2 linked regions of the Pelodiscus sinensis genome follow. The protein of the gene in region 1 interacts with the protein of each later gene in a pairwise test. Links are inferred from orthologs where the notes say so. Each region holds a gene or a part of one and is shown in the gene's direction. Other genes may lie near its edges.

What was found. The genes of interacting proteins can lie anywhere in the genome.
Region 2: the proteins of RASSF5 (region 1) and RASSF2 interact in binary tests that used the Homo sapiens proteins (3 or more experiments, as listed by UniProt). The link is inferred for Pelodiscus sinensis from reciprocal best matches to the Homo sapiens genes RASSF5 and RASSF2.

What each region holds. Positions count from the first base shown.
Region 1 is NC_134737.1:6,050,495-6,058,769, reverse strand, and holds the start of RASSF5 (ras association domain-containing protein 5), read left to right. Parts: upstream 1-5,177; 5' UTR 5,178-5,319; coding exon 5,320-5,911; intron 5,912-8,275. UniProt on the Homo sapiens protein: Potential tumor suppressor. Seems to be involved in lymphocyte adhesion by linking RAP1A activation upon T-cell receptor or chemokine stimulation to integrin activation.
Region 2 is NC_134738.1:481,024-488,732, reverse strand, and holds the start of RASSF2 (ras association domain-containing protein 2), read left to right. Parts: upstream 1-4,641; 5' UTR 4,642-4,830; intron 4,831-7,709. UniProt on the Homo sapiens protein: Potential tumor suppressor. Acts as a KRAS-specific effector protein. May promote apoptosis and cell cycle arrest. Stabilizes STK3/MST2 by protecting it from proteasomal degradation.

The sequences.
Region 1 (8,275 bases):
ACCACCTTTTGTGGCAAATGGTCCTTGAACAAACTATTGGTCTACAGTAAGGGGAAGTTTTTTGCTAATGAAAACATAAAAACCATTCAGCTCATGACAGGTATATTGGCTATGGATTAATAACTGCCAGGCAAATACTCAGATTCCACAATAGGGGGACTGTGAATTTGCTCAGTTCTAACCTGTGACATAACAGGAGACAGTTAATTTTTTTTTCCAGTGTCCAAAACTAAATTAACTTCCGTTTGGTTTGAACAAAACATGTTTGACCTGGCATGTATTTGTATTTGTTTTTTATTTTGTTTTGGGGATCATGCTTTTTCTGTTAAATCAACCCAGTTAACCTTTTAAACTAGATGCCATTTTGAAATAAAGAGGTTTGACTATCCATTAAAAACATAATTCTGGGCGAAACTCTTCTCCGGACTTGATCTGAATTTGCAAATAGTTTTGATGAACCTGAAATGGTGTTTTTTCAGCAATTAAACTATTTGTCCAGAAAATTTTGCAGAGCTCTGCTGTAGATCACTTCCTCTGGCAGATGATTAGGAGAGTGTTTCATGAATAAAAGGATGGTGTGAGCAACACCATCCAGCCTTTGCTTACTGGTCTGAAAAGCAAACGGGAAATGCTGTGTTGTGTTCCAGCTGTTTTCTCTGGAATACATTCTGCAGTTTGGTTCCAGAGGTAGGAGAATTGGGCCTCTTTAAATTGAACCTCGTTACAATGTTCTTCCCTAAACAGTTGCATAATGTGACATAGTGCTGTTAAATAGCTTTAAGCGTCATCTCAGAGGTTGCCATATTTTTGTTGGGGGCAAAGCAATTCATCTGTAGAACTGATATATCTGTTTAAATGTGCAGAAGACTACACAGCCCTACAGAAATATTAATTCACTCAATTCTCTTCCATCTTTCAGGTAAATAAATTTTCCCACTTCCCTGGTAGGGAAACTAAGGCAAAGAGGTTAAGTGATCTGCACAAGGTCACATACAAAATCAATATCAGAACAAGGTTGGAAACTCGAATTCCTGAGTCTTGGTCCTGTGTGTTGGTCAAGAGACCCAGTATTAACAGGACAAGAGACACATGAGAAGTGAATTCTTACAGTTCAGCAACCCCATAATTACAAAGGACACACTCAGTTTCCCCCATTGGGTTCTGACACACAATTGCATATGAAGTAAAACTGTTCGATTGACTTTTCTTGGGGCCCATGTATATTTATTTTAAGTTCTATTTTTTTTTTCAAATCTCATACAACACAAGTTCAATCTCTTATGAAGAAGCCTTCACATAACATGCGCTAGCCTGTCACAAATATTCCCCACGTTTTTTCTTTTACTGGATTGGGTGGGTGGGTTGGCTGTAGCTATGTTGTAACTGTCGCTTGAGCGCAAAACAGCCCTTTGTTGCATAGAAAAGAGAGGTTGCTTGTGATGATGATAAAATGAACAGGGGAGAAGGGATTTTAAGAAAACATAGGGCAGGGGGGACCAACTTCGTGCTAAAATGAAGAATGAAACTAGAATGTTGCAAGCTGGACTGCTGTTTGATAACTGACTTGAGCATCATGCTATGTATGTGCTATTATGGCACTATTAGCTTGTAACACAGATCTCCCAGCGCTTTTTGGGGTTAAATATCTGATTCATCCCTAACTCCCTTGAGAAACAGACACATGAGAACAAATTTACCCTCCACTATAGCAAATGAAAAGCAATTATCTCTGATTATCCTCTCCCTGGAACCCATGTAATTTAGGAGTAACTCCACTGACAACTATTTAAGAGTAATGCCACTGAAGTTTACACCAGTTTTACACCCATATGAGAGAAATTACACCACAAAGAAAAAGTAGTGCGGTAATAGTAGCCTGGGACCTGGAAGACCAAATTCAATCTATGCTCTACTGCCTACTTGTCATGTGGTCTTGGCCAAAAATTTTAAGTGGCTAGTGATTTTGAAGATCTGATTGTTTAAACATCCAACTTGAGATGCCGTAAAGGGTCAAAAATTGTGGAGCATTCACCTTCTGATAATCTGACCCTTTAAGGCATCTATCCTGTTAGACACCCAGACTAATTAGTCATTTCTGAAAAACTTAGACTAATTACTCTCTCTCTACCTCAGTCACGCTGTCTGTAAAATGGGAACAGTAGCTGCCTCATGGGCATTTAGTGAGCCTTCAGTGATGTTCAGGAAGTACTTGGTGTTCCCTAGTTGAGAAGCACTGTAGGCAGCACAATATTACATTTAATGTTCAATTAGCCTTTGTTCTGTTTCTCTTGATACAAAAGGCATAGAAAAGAATGAGTTTTGCCAAGCGGCAATTGTAGGAAGACTAAAGGAGGATATGATAGGGGTCTATAAAATCATGACTGGTGTGGAGAAAGTAAATAAGAAAAAGTTATCATTTCTATAACACAAAAACTAGGGGTCACCAAATGAAATTAATAGCTGGTTTAAAACAAAGGAAATATTTATTCACACAATGCACAGTCAACCTGTGGTACTCCTTGTGAAGGTCAAGACAATAACAAAAGAGCTAGATAGATTCATGGAGGTTAGGTCTATCAATGGCTATTAGCCAGATGGGCAGGGATGGTGGCCCTAGCATCTGTTTGTCAGAAGCTGAAAATGGGCAACAGGAGATTGATCACTTGATGATTCCCTGTTCTGTTCATTCCCTCTGGGAGCATCTGCAATGGGCAACTGTGGAAAGACAGGATACTGGGCTAGATGGACCTTTGGCTTGCTCCAGTATGGATGCTCTTATGTTAATGGATTTTGGCCCCTCCCTCAAAAGTTTTTTAAAAGCAAAAGAAGCATTTCAGGGATATTTTAAAATTCAAATTGAAACCTGAAACAAAAAGGGTCCTCAACAACCCCCCCCCCCCCGCAAATATTATTTAATTCTGCTTCCAGCTAGGTCGGGGTGAGTTGGGGTGAGGAAACTTTTTTGGGTTGGGGGCCACTGACCCACAGAAAAATTAGTCGGGGGCCACACACAAGTGAGAAACAACAACCAAAAAACCTCACCAATGTGGCCTCCGACTGTGAAGGAGAAAGACCCTCCCTCCCTTCCCCTCACACACTAGAGCCTAGATGGGCCCAGGCTAGATTTTGGGTGCTCCAACCCCACAGGAGGATGGCAGAGAAGGGAGCTGGAGGGGGGAGCCCTGAGCCTTTGGGGTCTGATCCAGGCAAGCCACAGGCCACATCCAACCCCCAGGCCTTAGGTTTCTCACCCCTGAGCTAGGTCATGCTAGCACCAGAAGCTGTCTGCAATGGCAAGTGGCTGGGTTTATTTTCACTTGTCTTGCAGGGAATGAAACACATACACAAAAACAGCAGTAAAGCCTTTTAAACTTGGGAGCCCAAAGTTAGGCACCTAAGTAAATGGTTTGATTTTTGTTTTCTTCTTCCAGAGGCTCTTGAGCAGATGCTGTTCCCATTCCATTGACTGGACATTCAGGGGCAAGGGGCATTCACAAAGTGTCTTTCATACGGAGTTAGGCATCTAACAGCAAGTACCCAAGAGAATATTTTGGTGCACCATGAAAATGAGCATTTAAATAAACAAGTGATTGCAATAAAGGTGGAAAATTAAATGATTGTCTAGACCAGGCGCACAAACGCTGTACAAACAGAACAACAGGACAGTCTGGGCCCCAAAGAGCTTATAGTCTACCTATAAAATAAGTGGATACAAACCTACAAGGGAGGACAAGGAAACAGAGAAAATATTGGTTCACTTAATTGGCAATGGTTCAGCTCACCAGCTGCAGCGTGTCCCTGTATGTGTATAAAAATACAGGTCTGTAGAAGCTGAATGTTTAGTAAAGACTGTAATTTACTTTATTAATAAATATAAATTAGCCATTCAAAAATTCATCTCCAAAACCAGTGTTGCATTTTTGTACAGTTTCCTGTTGAAGTGTTGAGGAAAGTGCAGTTAATGGGCCCAAATGTGGTGCAGAGGTGAGCTTTAGTAATGGAGGGGAAGGAAGCAGTGCTGTAAACTCTCTATAGCCCTTACGGTTATTTATCTCTGTGTTTTAAAAAGAGCTTTATCTAACCCAGCAGTGGGCAACCTGCAGCCTGCGGGCCACATGTAGCCCATGCACCTGCTTTCCCCGTGCCTCCGGGGTCCTGCACTTACCTACTCCTCCCCCTTCCTCCCAGCACTTCCAGAGAGCCACAAATTGGCTGCTCTTCTTCCAACCTCCCAGGGCTAGAACACCATGAAGTCCTGGGTGAGGGGCTGGAGCAGGGACCCGAAGCACTTGGGAGAGGAGGCAGGGAAGAGGCCGGATAAAGAATTGATATTGTGTGAATTGTTTCTTTTTTATTATTTGAAGTTGAGGACCACTCTGTTAATCCATGAATGATTAAAGCATTTCAACTTGTTTTGAAATATGCTGCATATTAACATATTTAATCTTATTCTTGGGGTCATGATTAATGCATGCGGGTTTATTTCAGTCTTGCAGCCCGCTCATTAACTGTGTGTGCTACCCCCCAGGGGCACAAACGGATTCCCCACTTATTGAAGAAATTGTGGTGGTACTTTGCAAAATCCCACTAGGTGCTTAAATACCTTTTTAAGCCTCTGCCCATAACATCCTGTTGTCAAAAGTGGCCTGGGCCCTCAGCAGCCTAAAACTTGTGTGGCTTTTTATTTCCCTCACTGCCTAAGTCACTTCTGGGCAAGGACGGGAGCCCTTAGATCAGTGAAAAAAATTCCCCTTTCAGGCAGGCATCGGCTGGGCATTGCTGGGAGGACTGGTAGCCGCGTTTGAATTCCTGTCTCCTTTCTTTGTAAACAGGTGCCTGGCCGGGGCATGCAGGCATGGGTGTAAGTACACACAGGTGCCCCCTATGCAGCAGTGCTGAAAAGTAACTTTCAATTTCCCACAGGTGTGGTCCTACTGCAACCGGGCTCCTTGCCAGTTGTTTCAATAGCTCCCTGCTGGGTTCTGCCCCGGCTCTTAGCAGAGCTGCGCCCCCCTTCCCTGTCCCCTCCGGTTTGTGGGGTCTGCGCCCCGGTTTGCACGCGCGGTGGGGCAGGGACTGTGCCTGGAACGAAGGGCGTTTCCCCCAGCGCAGTGGGGCTGGGTGCCTGATTGGCTGGTGCCGCAGCGGCTGCTCCAATCTCAGGCTCGCGGCGGGTTTCGCGTGTCCCTGTGTGTTTAACGGGGCCTCCCACTGCAGCGGCGCTCGCAAGCGGCTACGCCAGCGGCGCTTCCAGGTGGCTCCCCCCCTTGTCTCTCCAATTCACCCCTGCGCTCCGCCGGGCCGCGGCTCGCTCGGGCCATGGCCTCCCCGGCCATCGGGCCGTGCCCCTGCCCGCTGCTCCTGGACAAAGAGCAGCAGCTCTTCCTGCAGAGCCTGAGCGCCCACGAGAGGAAGAAGATCCTCAAGCGCTCGGCGTCCGCGGACGCGAAGCCGCGGAGGCGGCAGGGGACCCTGCCCCAGCAGCGGGGCGCGGCGCCGGAGGATGCTCCGCCGGCGCAAGTGGCTGCAAGCGGCGGGGCGCCCGCGGACGGGGCGCGCCCGGGAGACGGGAGGTTCCCTGGCACCGCGGAGGAGCCCGGGCGCACGGCGCTAGCTGCGTGCTCTGCCGCGCAGCCCTGGGAGCCGGGGGGCAGCGCCGGAGCCCCCAGCCCGCCGGACTCCCCCGGCTCGGCCAAGCCGGCCCGCTCCGGGCTGCTCCACCTGCGCCTGCGGCGGCGCTCCGGGGCGCCGCGCCTGCTGCCCGACGTGCGGACCATCTTCGAGCAGCCCCGGGACCCCCGCGTGCGGCAGGAGACGGGCGAAGGGCACCGCTTCCAAACCTTCGCGCTCTGCAGCGGCTGGTGCGACCTGTGCGGGCAGGCGGTGCAGCAGCGAGTCCTGCGCTGCGCCAGTAAGTGTCTCTTCTCCCCCCTCCCCAGCTCCCTCCTGGCAGGTGACCGATCGCTTCCCTTGGCATCCCCCACCGCCCCCCTTCTCACTGCAGATGTCTGACCCGCCCCTCCTTGCACTGATCGGCAGCCCCTCTCGGTGCGAAATTGAATCACATCCCAACCCCTCTGCCCCCTGACAGGAGTGGGATCCCTGCTCCCCCCCCCCCCCCGCTGGTGTCTGACAGTGACAGGTGGTCTCCACAGCCCCCTGCCCTACACGCTCCTGAGGGCATCCGGAGAGCGTGTGTGTGTGTATGTAAGAGCACAGCGCATTGCCTGAGAAGGGATAATCCGGGCAACCTGGTTGCATCTAATCAGAAATCGTTTAAAGCAGTTAAATTCCCCTAGGAGAGCACCTGTGTTTGATGACAAAGGTTACTTCAGGGTGCCAGTGGTGGTATGTATATTAGAGGGGAGCTGTTTCTTTCACAGGCTTCAAACCTTGAGTAACCTCCCAGCTGTGGAATATATTTCCCCCTCATTTTTTTCTCTATAGCTTGTTGGTTTATTAACCCTATTACATACCAAGGTATTTACCTTCATCTGCAACTTTGACAGCATTGTATGCCTTGCCCTTTGCCCCACTGACAAATGACCTGATACTCAGACAATGTATTTGCTGATGTATGCTTGATTTAAGTCACTTGTTTTATCTCTTCAGGAGCTGTAAAGGCTTGCTAAGTACATAGCTGTGTTGAAGGATGACAGATAATGGTTTGATGCATGGAGCTCTGTTGCTGGTTTATTGGGATCTAATGTAATATTGTCTATAAAACACTATTGATTTGCTACCACTATAGATAGATAGATAGATTAGTCTGATGAGTTTTTGAGTCTGGCAGAGAAAAATGTGTGTGTGTCTATCATGCCATAGTCATGAGCTCCTTCAGGAGTTCATTTTGCTCACTAGCGCATAACACTGATCATCTTGGTTTTAAGATTTAGAGTAGCTGTGCTGTGAGTTCTGGTGATGTTTGATAAGTCTTTTCTCATCCTGTTCATGCACGTTTTGGGAAGGTGCAAATTCACAGAGTAATCACAACGATAGTGTTGTAAGATGTTCCTACCTTCATTATAGAATTTTCATCATTTAATGATCTGGGTTCATTCAGCTCATCCCTGCTGGTAAAGAGGTCTTGCTCTGATCTCAGTTGGAGTTGCACCTGCTTATGGGACATAATCCCTAGAATGCAGGGGTGTATCTGAATTGTTGCATGAGGTATATTTTTCTGCCAAGATGCCATTATAGCAATGTAAGGGCATTTCTCAATAAGCTGAATGATACACTGGGGGTTGGAGGAGGGTTGATTGAACTTAATTGTCAGCGTGGAACTGCTGATGGTGTCAAGGGAACTTAGATTATTGATTTTTTTTAATTGACTCTCTTGTATAGTAATCAAAGCTTAATATTTGATGGAGTGACTGGGTGCAGATTTTCTGCTGCCCAGCGCTGGCTCTAAATTAAATGGTTCATTTTCTTTCTTCCCTTCCCCTTTTTGTAGCTGATGAATATGCTTTCATGTTCAGTTTTGAATGGACATTCACTCTGTCTGGGCATTAACATTAATTTAAGGAACTGAAAATTACTTTTTCCTGTTACTCCTCATAATTGTTAATATGGTTACAGAGGTAGCGAGGACAGTAATTAAATTTCTCTTGCCAAAAGATGGCACTGATAACCTGTGAAGCACTGGATTGGAATTTTTTAAAAGCAGCTAAACATTTCTGCAATGACTTCTTTTGTCCTGCATTGTCCGTTGTTCCTAACCCCACCTTGTGCAGCACATAGAATCTCATAAAGTATAATATTCCAAAGCACATCATGATTAGATAAACTGCTCTTCAAAATGAACAGGTTCTAGCATAGGATTGCATGCTTCAGAGGTTAACATTGACACTGCTGCTCAGTCTGTGCTGATGTACATATTCAAATCTAAATTACCTGTGTAGTAGACACTGATCGAGAAGGAGGGAGTTCTCTTCCTTAAATTCACTCTGGTGGTTGGCTTCATTAATAGCTTATGGGAAATACCTAGTTACTAACTAAAGAAACTGAGACCAGATACCTCTATGTGAACTAATAAAATGTGAATATCATTTTTAAAAATAATTAGAACAGGGTCCTTGTTCATCTTAAAACATCTGGGATCTGGAAAAGGAAGCATGTAGGGAGTTGAAGTATCTTGATTGGGTGTTTTTCCTACTCCAGTACCTGAGGAATTTCCAGCAGGCTGCAGAAACCATGCAGCATGTGTGATTGCCCCCAAGCTCTCAGCACCATTTTTGTTTACAGCGCGGCACAAAAATTCCTACCAACAAGCAAA
Region 2 (7,709 bases), on another chromosome or scaffold:
TGTGCAATCTGGAACTCAGAGCTGAGTTGAGCTGGGCTGACAGCCAGGCCTCGGGGGAGGCCGAGCAGGCTGCTGTGAGCTGAGCAGAGATGGAGTGTTGTTGTGCAACGTCTGCCTCTACTTCCAGGCTGACTAGTCTCCAGTCCCTTTTCAGCAGTCAGTTCAGCCCTGGGGAATGTGCAGGACTGATGGCTGGGACAGCTGTGATCTGGATGAATCCCAGGGCAGAAGCAGCAGGAGCCTTAGTAGGCCAAGCCGCAGAACAGGAAGGGTCACCTGGGAGGGGAGAAATGGTGGGTCAGCCCTAGTGGCTCTGCTAGCTGCGTTGCTGCCCTCCCTGGGCACCCCAAGCTCCTGGAGGGTTTAAGTACAATAATTTCTATCACACATGCACTGGGCTTCTTTTGAGTTGCCTTCTGGTTTTGAACCTTTGGGGTTACATGCAGGCCACGTTTCAAGCTTATGTAAGGGGACTGTTAGCCCCTTACTAAAACTCAGTGGGAGTTTTTGGTTGGCCAGCTCCCAGTACCAAAAGGGGAAGGGTACATGAGACTGACTGACAGACCCCAGGGACAGGGGCAGATATAGGGCAGGGCGAGCGGGGTGGCTGCCCCGGGCCCCGCGCTTCAAGAAGCCCCACGCATGCGATGTGTCAAAGGGGGGGCCCTGCGAAATTGTGCTACCCTAGGCCCCGCAAAATCGTCATCCGTCCCTGCCCAGGGACAATGGGAAGAGGCCAACACTCCAGCTCAGCCTGATTGACAGGTTGGACAGATGAATGAGAGAATTAGAAGGCCAGGTCCCATCCTCCGTGTGAGCTGGGATTTTCTGGGTCTTTCTGAGAAAAGGAGAGAGAGCTGAGAAGAGCAGCAGAAAAGGCAAGCTGTGTGGAGACAGACATGCAGTGTCACAGCCAGGCACACACAGCCCGAGGAGTGCAAGCTGTGCTGAGGGGCAGACCTGCAGTGTCACAGCCAGGCACACACAGCCCGAGGAGTGAAAGCTGTGCTGAGGGGCAGACCTGCAGTGTCACAGCCAGGCGCACACAGCCCGAGAAGTGAAAGCTGTGCTGAGGGGCAGACCTGCAGTGTCACAGCCAGGCACACACAGCCCGAGGAGTGAAAGCTGTGCTGAGGGGCAGACCTGCAGTGTCACAGCCAGGCACACACAGCCCGAGGAGTGAAAGCTGTGCTGAGGGGCAGACCTGCAGTGTCACAGCCAGGCGCGCACAGCCCGAGGAGTGAAAGCTGTGCTGAGGGGCAGACCTGCAGTGTCACAGCCAGGCGCGCACAGCCCGAGGAGTGAAAGCTGTGCTGAGGGGCAGACCTGCAGTGTCACAGCCAGGCGCGCACAGCCCGAGGAGTGAAAGCTGTGCTGAGGGGCAGACCTGCAGTGTCACAGCCAGGCGCGCACAGCCCGAGGAGTGCAAGCTGTGCTGAGGGGCAGACCTGCAGTGTCACAGCCAGGCACGCACAGCCCGAGGAGTGAAAGCTGTGCTGAGGGGCAGACCTGCAGTGTCACAGCCAGGCACGCACAGCCCGAGGAGTGCAAGCTGTGCTGAGGGGCAGACCTGCAGTGTCACAGCCAGGCGCGCACAGCCCGAGGAGTGCAAGCTGTGCTGAGGGGCAGACCTGCAGTGTCACAGCCAGGCGCGCACAGCCCGAGGAGTGAAAGCTGTGCTGAGGGGCAGACCTGCAGTGTCACAGCCAGGCACGCACAGCCCGAGAAGTGAAAGCTGTGCTGAGGGGCAGACCTGCAGTGTCACAGCCAGGCACACACAGCCCGAGGAGTGAAAGCTGTGCTGAGGGGCAGACCTGCAGTGTCACAGCCAGGCACACACAGCCCGAGGAGTGCAAGCTGTGCTGAGGGGCAGACCTGCAGTGTCACAGCCAGGCGCGCACAGCCCGAGGAGTGCAAGCTGTGCTGAGGGGCAGACCTGCAGAGTCACAGCCAGGCACACACAGCCCGAGAAGTGAAAGCTGTGCTGAGGGGCAGACCTGCAGTGTCACAGCCAGGCACACACAGCCCGAGGAGTGCAAGCTGTGCTGAGGGGCAGACCTGCAGTGTCACAGCCAGGCGCGCACAGCCCGAGGAGTGCAAGCTGTGCTGAGGGGCAGACCTGCAGTGACAGAGCCCCACACACAGCCCGAGGAGTGAAAGCTGTGCTGAGGGGCAGACCTGCAGTGACAGAGCCCCACACACAGCCCGAGGAGTGAAAGCTGTGCTGAGGGGCAGACCTGCAGTGACAGAGCCCCACACACAGCCCGAGGAGTGAAAGCTGTGCTGAGGGGCAGACCTGCAGTGACAGAGCCCCACACACAGCCCGAGGAGTGAAAGCTGTGCTGAGGGGCAGACCTGCAGTGACAGAGCCCCACACACAGCCCGAGGAGCACAGACCCTGTGCTGAGCAGCAGACCTGCAGTGACCAGAGAGCCAAAGGGGTCAGAGAAGCAACACAAGGAGCTGGAGTCTGGCAAAGCAGCAGTCTGCAGCTGGGTGTGGTGAGTAGCTGGGACCAGCAAAGGGGGAAAGAGGCTCTGGGCAGGGACACGCCACCAGCGCCACCCTGCAGGCCAGACTTGGAGAGGGATTGTAACTCCAACTGGGAGAGGGGTCCTGCCACCTAGAGCCTAGGCCATGTGGTCACTCCCAGAGCAAGCGTGTCCAACTTGCAGCCTCCCTGCAGCACAGCCAGGGCCTGAGAGAGAGCCCGGGGACCTACAAGGAACAGACTGTGAACTATCCTTACACTCTGCAGACGGCTGTTTGTGATGTCCCCGTGCTACAGAGGAGGGCTGTGCGTTCTCATTTAACCTTTCTCATTTTTCCTTTTCTGTTCTTTTTGATCAGTTGTTTAATAAATTGTATTTGCTTTGAACTGTATGAAATGATCACTGGGTCAAGAAAGCCTGCAGTGTGAAGAGAGCACCCCAGAGTGGGGACACCCTAGCCCTTACCCCAAGTGACTACAAGGTCGGGGATTAAGCCCCAGAAAACCTGGGCCTAGCTTTGTTGGATTTCGAGGACTCTGCTACTCAGGAGAATGGAAGAGGAGCCCTCAGTGTCAGGGAGGCCTTTGGGTAAAAGAAGTGGGAGTGGGGACTCAGATGCTTTTGCTGGTCCATTTCACCGGGGCAGTATAGAAGCCAGGAAAGCTCCCCACAATAGCGGGACCATTCCCCCGCTTACACTTATCTCAACAGCCCTTCTTAGAAACTGAAAGCTGTTGTTTCAGACCAGCACTCGCCCCAGCATTTGGGGCATGAAGAGAGCCACAGAACAACGTGAGACTTGCTATCCAACTACAAGTGCTGGCAACACTGCAGCTGGGGGGGCCGACCGAACTGCCAGGCCCTTATGCAAGATGGGAGGGTGGCAGGGCAGCTCCATGCTCACCGAAGGGGCGGGGCTTCTGGCAGAAGAGGCGGGACTTTGGGCTAGCTGCTTCTGGGTGGTGCTGAAGGGCTGGTAGGAGGCTATCAGGAGCCCCAAGCCATTTTGAATTGCTAGGCCTAGAGGCAGGTGCCGCCTTTGCCCTTCCACCCCCATCAACAGGCCTAGTTGTGAGTTTTGCAGATTTTAAGCCCAGAAGGGACCACAGCTGGGTATGCTGCATAGCACAGGCCAGACTCCTGCCAACAGGCCCGACCTTAGGGAAAGGTGAGCAAGGCGGTTGCCTAGGACCCTGTGCTGCCTGGCTGGGAGCCACCCAGCCATGTGGTACAGCCAACCACAACATGCTGCCTTGGGCCGTGCAAACTGGCCAGGCCTGCTTATCCAATGGCTTGTGGTGGAGCTGGTGCGAATACTCCAGAGCAGGGGCTTGCAACCTTTGCAGACTGTCATGCCCCTTGCAGAGTCTGAATTGTCTTCTGTGCCCCCGTCTTGCTCCCCCTTGAAAAAGACTCACTCACAAAACCAGACACAGAAATATACAAGTGCCATTGCACACGGTCACTGAAAAATGGCTGACTCGCTCATTTTGGCCAAATAATTAAAATATAATCCCTGGATATATAAATATTGTACTTCCAGTTCAGGGCCTAGTATGCAGAGCAGTGTAAACAAGTCACTGTATGAAATTTTAGTTGGTACAGTACCGACTTTGCCAATGCTTTCTATGTAGCCTAGGCAAATCTCTAGATGAAACACCTAGGCTTGATGTAAGGATTTCAAGATGTCCCTTGGCCATCTCAGCCTGTGGCTAGTTCCCCAGAGGGTTCAAAACCAGCCCCTTAGTTAGTCCCATTTGAACACTCAGTTTCCAGGTGGTGACTCTTGGCTCTGTCTGGCTCCTAAATGGATTTAAACTCTTGCTTGCTGGTACCGCACACCCGTCAAACATCAGCTGGGAATGTCCCTTGTCCCGCCCGACCTGGCCTGTGTCTGAGCCGGGCGAGGCCAGTGGGACACATCCCCCCGAGTAGCTCGCTTGGGTGGACTGCCCGCCCCCCAACGCTTCACAAAAGTCCTTTCTTCCCCCGCCTGGGGCGGGTCAGGCCCCCACCCTCTCTCCCGGGCCCTGGCCAGGCTCAGGCTGCGATCCCAGCGCCCCCCTGCAGCCGCCGCCTCTGCTGCGGACACTCCCCAGCCAGCTGCGCATTGTCTGGGCGGGCGAGCGGGGCGCCAATGAGGCCGCGGCAGCGAACGGCGGCGCAGCAGCCATTGGTGCGGGGCGCAGGGAGACAGGCGGGCGGTGTCTGCAGCTGCGCTGGCCCCGCAGGGCGGCGGATGGAGGCGCGGGCGCCGCTGCCCGAGAAGGACGGAGCAGGAGCGCGGATGCCGCCTTGTTGGGCGGCTCTCGAGTGCCCCCGCCCTGCCCAGAGCCCGGTAATCAGCGCAGCGGGGGCGGCCGGGGGCGGTTGGGTAACAAAGCCGGGTGGGGCTGCAGCAGCCGGGGGAGTTTGCCGGGCTACCCATCCTCCCCGGCTCCCTCGTTGGGCCGCTGGTCCTGGAGCCTGGCGTGGCGGAGGGAGCAGCCGCCTGGGAGCCAGGCTGCCCGGGTTCTGTGCCTGGCTTGGGGCTGGCCTCGGCAAGCACCGGTCGGAGGAGGGCGGTCCCCGGGGGCCTTTCTTCCACATCGCCGCCAAGCATCCCTCTGTCTTGGGCACGCGGCACCATCTCCGTGCGCTTCCCCTTGCCCCGGCCTCGGGTGCTGGTGGCTCCGCTAGGACTGATCTGCGGGCAGGGCTGGGGAGCAGGAGTCTGGTTCCTGGTGGGCTAGAGGCTGGTTTTAGTGGGTATCTAGCAACGTTCCCCGAGCTGCTCAGGCGTTTCGGGCCAGTCCGGGCGCAGGGGGACAGACCGGAGCGAGGGGCTCAGAAGCTGTTTCAGGGTCTGTCACTTTCCAGGCCGCGGTGAGTGGCCTGGCGGGTCCTCTCGGAGGCTCCCCTCTGGCGGGGGTGACTTCCAGCAGTTGGTTGGGCAAACTCCGCTGCCTCTGAAAGTAACAGCGCAGCCACGATTGCAGCCTTGGCAAGGGGGGGGGGGCAGCAATCTGTGGCGGGACCTTCGGTTTCTGTGAAATCTGTTCCAGTCAAAGGCCCCTCCCTGAGCGGCGGATCCTGCCTGTCCCTCCAAAGGAATGTCTGCTTGGGACCGGGCAGACAGACTCATGTTAACAATTCATAGCTCTTTGTACAGACAAGGGACCACTATGATAATCCAGAGCTCTTGGCTTCATAACCGCCTCTTAAATGGAGTTGTGAGTCAGCCTGGCTGGCCTAGCTCAGAGCTTATATTCCCCGTCTGTCTCCTCCTGAGGCCTTCCTGACCTTTGCCTCTGACCTCTGCCTGGCTGCCCTGTTCCCCACCTGTGCAGGGGGACGGTTAACCTAGAAGCCTTTCAAGCAGGGGGGGTGATTCACCAGGTCATCTGCACCAGAGACGTGGTAAGGGAGGCACAGGCCTCATGCTGATCCTTGGACAGAGTTGACTTTCCCTCAGATTGATCCAGTGAGCAAGCTTCCCTCTTGCAGCCTGAGTGCATCACCCCACCCTGTCCCCCGGGCCAGTTCTAGTGCTGGGGGAGGACACTGTCCGGTGGTGGTTTCCAGAGCAGCTGCTGCCTGTGGAGCAGTTTTGTATTGGCTGCCCTCCTGCCCCCTCCTGCATTGTATCCTGGTGCAGGCACCTTGGTTAGGGTGAGAGGATGGGTCAGTCTGTGGTCCTGGGCCCCTGCTGAGCGCTCTCACATGGGTATCAGTGGGGCTGGCAGCCTGGAGGAGGAATCTGGACTGAAACCCACCAACTCATTTCCAGTAGGTCACAAAGAGCGATTTGATGGCCACTATTTCCAGTCTGTCCAGTCGGGGGGTGCAGAGGTCAGTAGGCCCCATTGCCCTGAGCTGCCCAGCCCTGTTTGCTTAAATTCCCTGTCTGTCTCCTCCTGAGGCCTTCCTGACCTTTGCCCCTAATCTCTACCTGGCTGCCCTGTTTTCCCTGAGCAGGGCCCTTCCAGGCCAAATCCACTTGGCAAAGAGAGCCAGGGCCTTGGCAGGGTGTTTAGTGTCTAGCTTCATAACAAGTGCATGCTGTTCCCTTCACAGCTGCCTTGCAGAGCACAGAATCCAGCAGCCAGTAGCACAGTGGTGTTAGCCTTCTCCCCAACATTGGATACTGGGCTCTGTTTACAGGAATTGCCCTGTGGCTGTGGGTCAGCTAGAGATGCCTTGGGCATGGGAGAACTGCTGGGTGAGCACTTGTTGGAGAGCAACGCGGCCTTGTTTAGGGGAGGGATGCGGAGGACTTCAGGTGGCCCTTTATGTTGCTTGTGCCTAAAACCATTTGGGCAAATTGTTCTCACCACAATTGGGGTAGGGAGCTGTTTCTCAGGGAGGGCTCAAAGCACAGAAATACCTGCTGAATGGGGCACAAGGGGATTCTCAGACACGCAGGCAGGTGGTGATGATCCACCCTAAGGTGAAGTCTATCCGGGCACTTGACAGTACTGTATTCTAGCTCATTGAGACACTTCCCCTTCCTGGAATGCAGCAAGTTACAGCACTGTAAGTTGCCTGTGTGAGCCAGGCTACAGCCCTGTGGCTCCCAGCGCTGTGAGCTGCTCCCCATGCAGAGGCAGGTTACATAGGCACTGGGAGAGCTCTCGGCCCCCACTTGTGCCGTGGCCACACTTTCAGTTTAAAGTGCTGCTGCAGCTGCACTTTAAACTGTTCTGTGTATACAAAGCTTGAGTAGCTTTGTCTTCCAGACATGCTGGCCTTCTCAGAAGAGAAGAGCCATCTTCCCCAGAGCCAGTGAGTGCCTCCACATCCTTAGCTGGCGGGAACTGGTGCTGAATGGCTCAGCTTTGAGCTCCACTGCTGACCCAGACCCGACAGCTTTAGGAAGTCAGTCCATGACTTCCAATGGTGCTTTGAATCTCTTTCCTGCTGCCTCTTATCCTACTTTCCGGCCTCAGTGTGGCCTCTGATGTTCCAGGCTGTCCCTAGACTTAGGAGCATGATCTTGGGTCAGTTTCACTTTGTGTTGGTTTCCTGCATAGTCATTAAGAGATAGGAACTTTAATTCTTAAATACAAACTTAGACCTGCCCTAGGAAGTGCACCAAGTCTGCCTCTAGGAATTTCTCTGATTCAGGTCTCAGTGCCCATCACTTAGCATCACTACACTGGTGCACAAGAGCACATGCAGGGCAAGCTTATTTTTATAAACTACAGCAAGAGGGCAGATACACCAATTCCCAGGCCC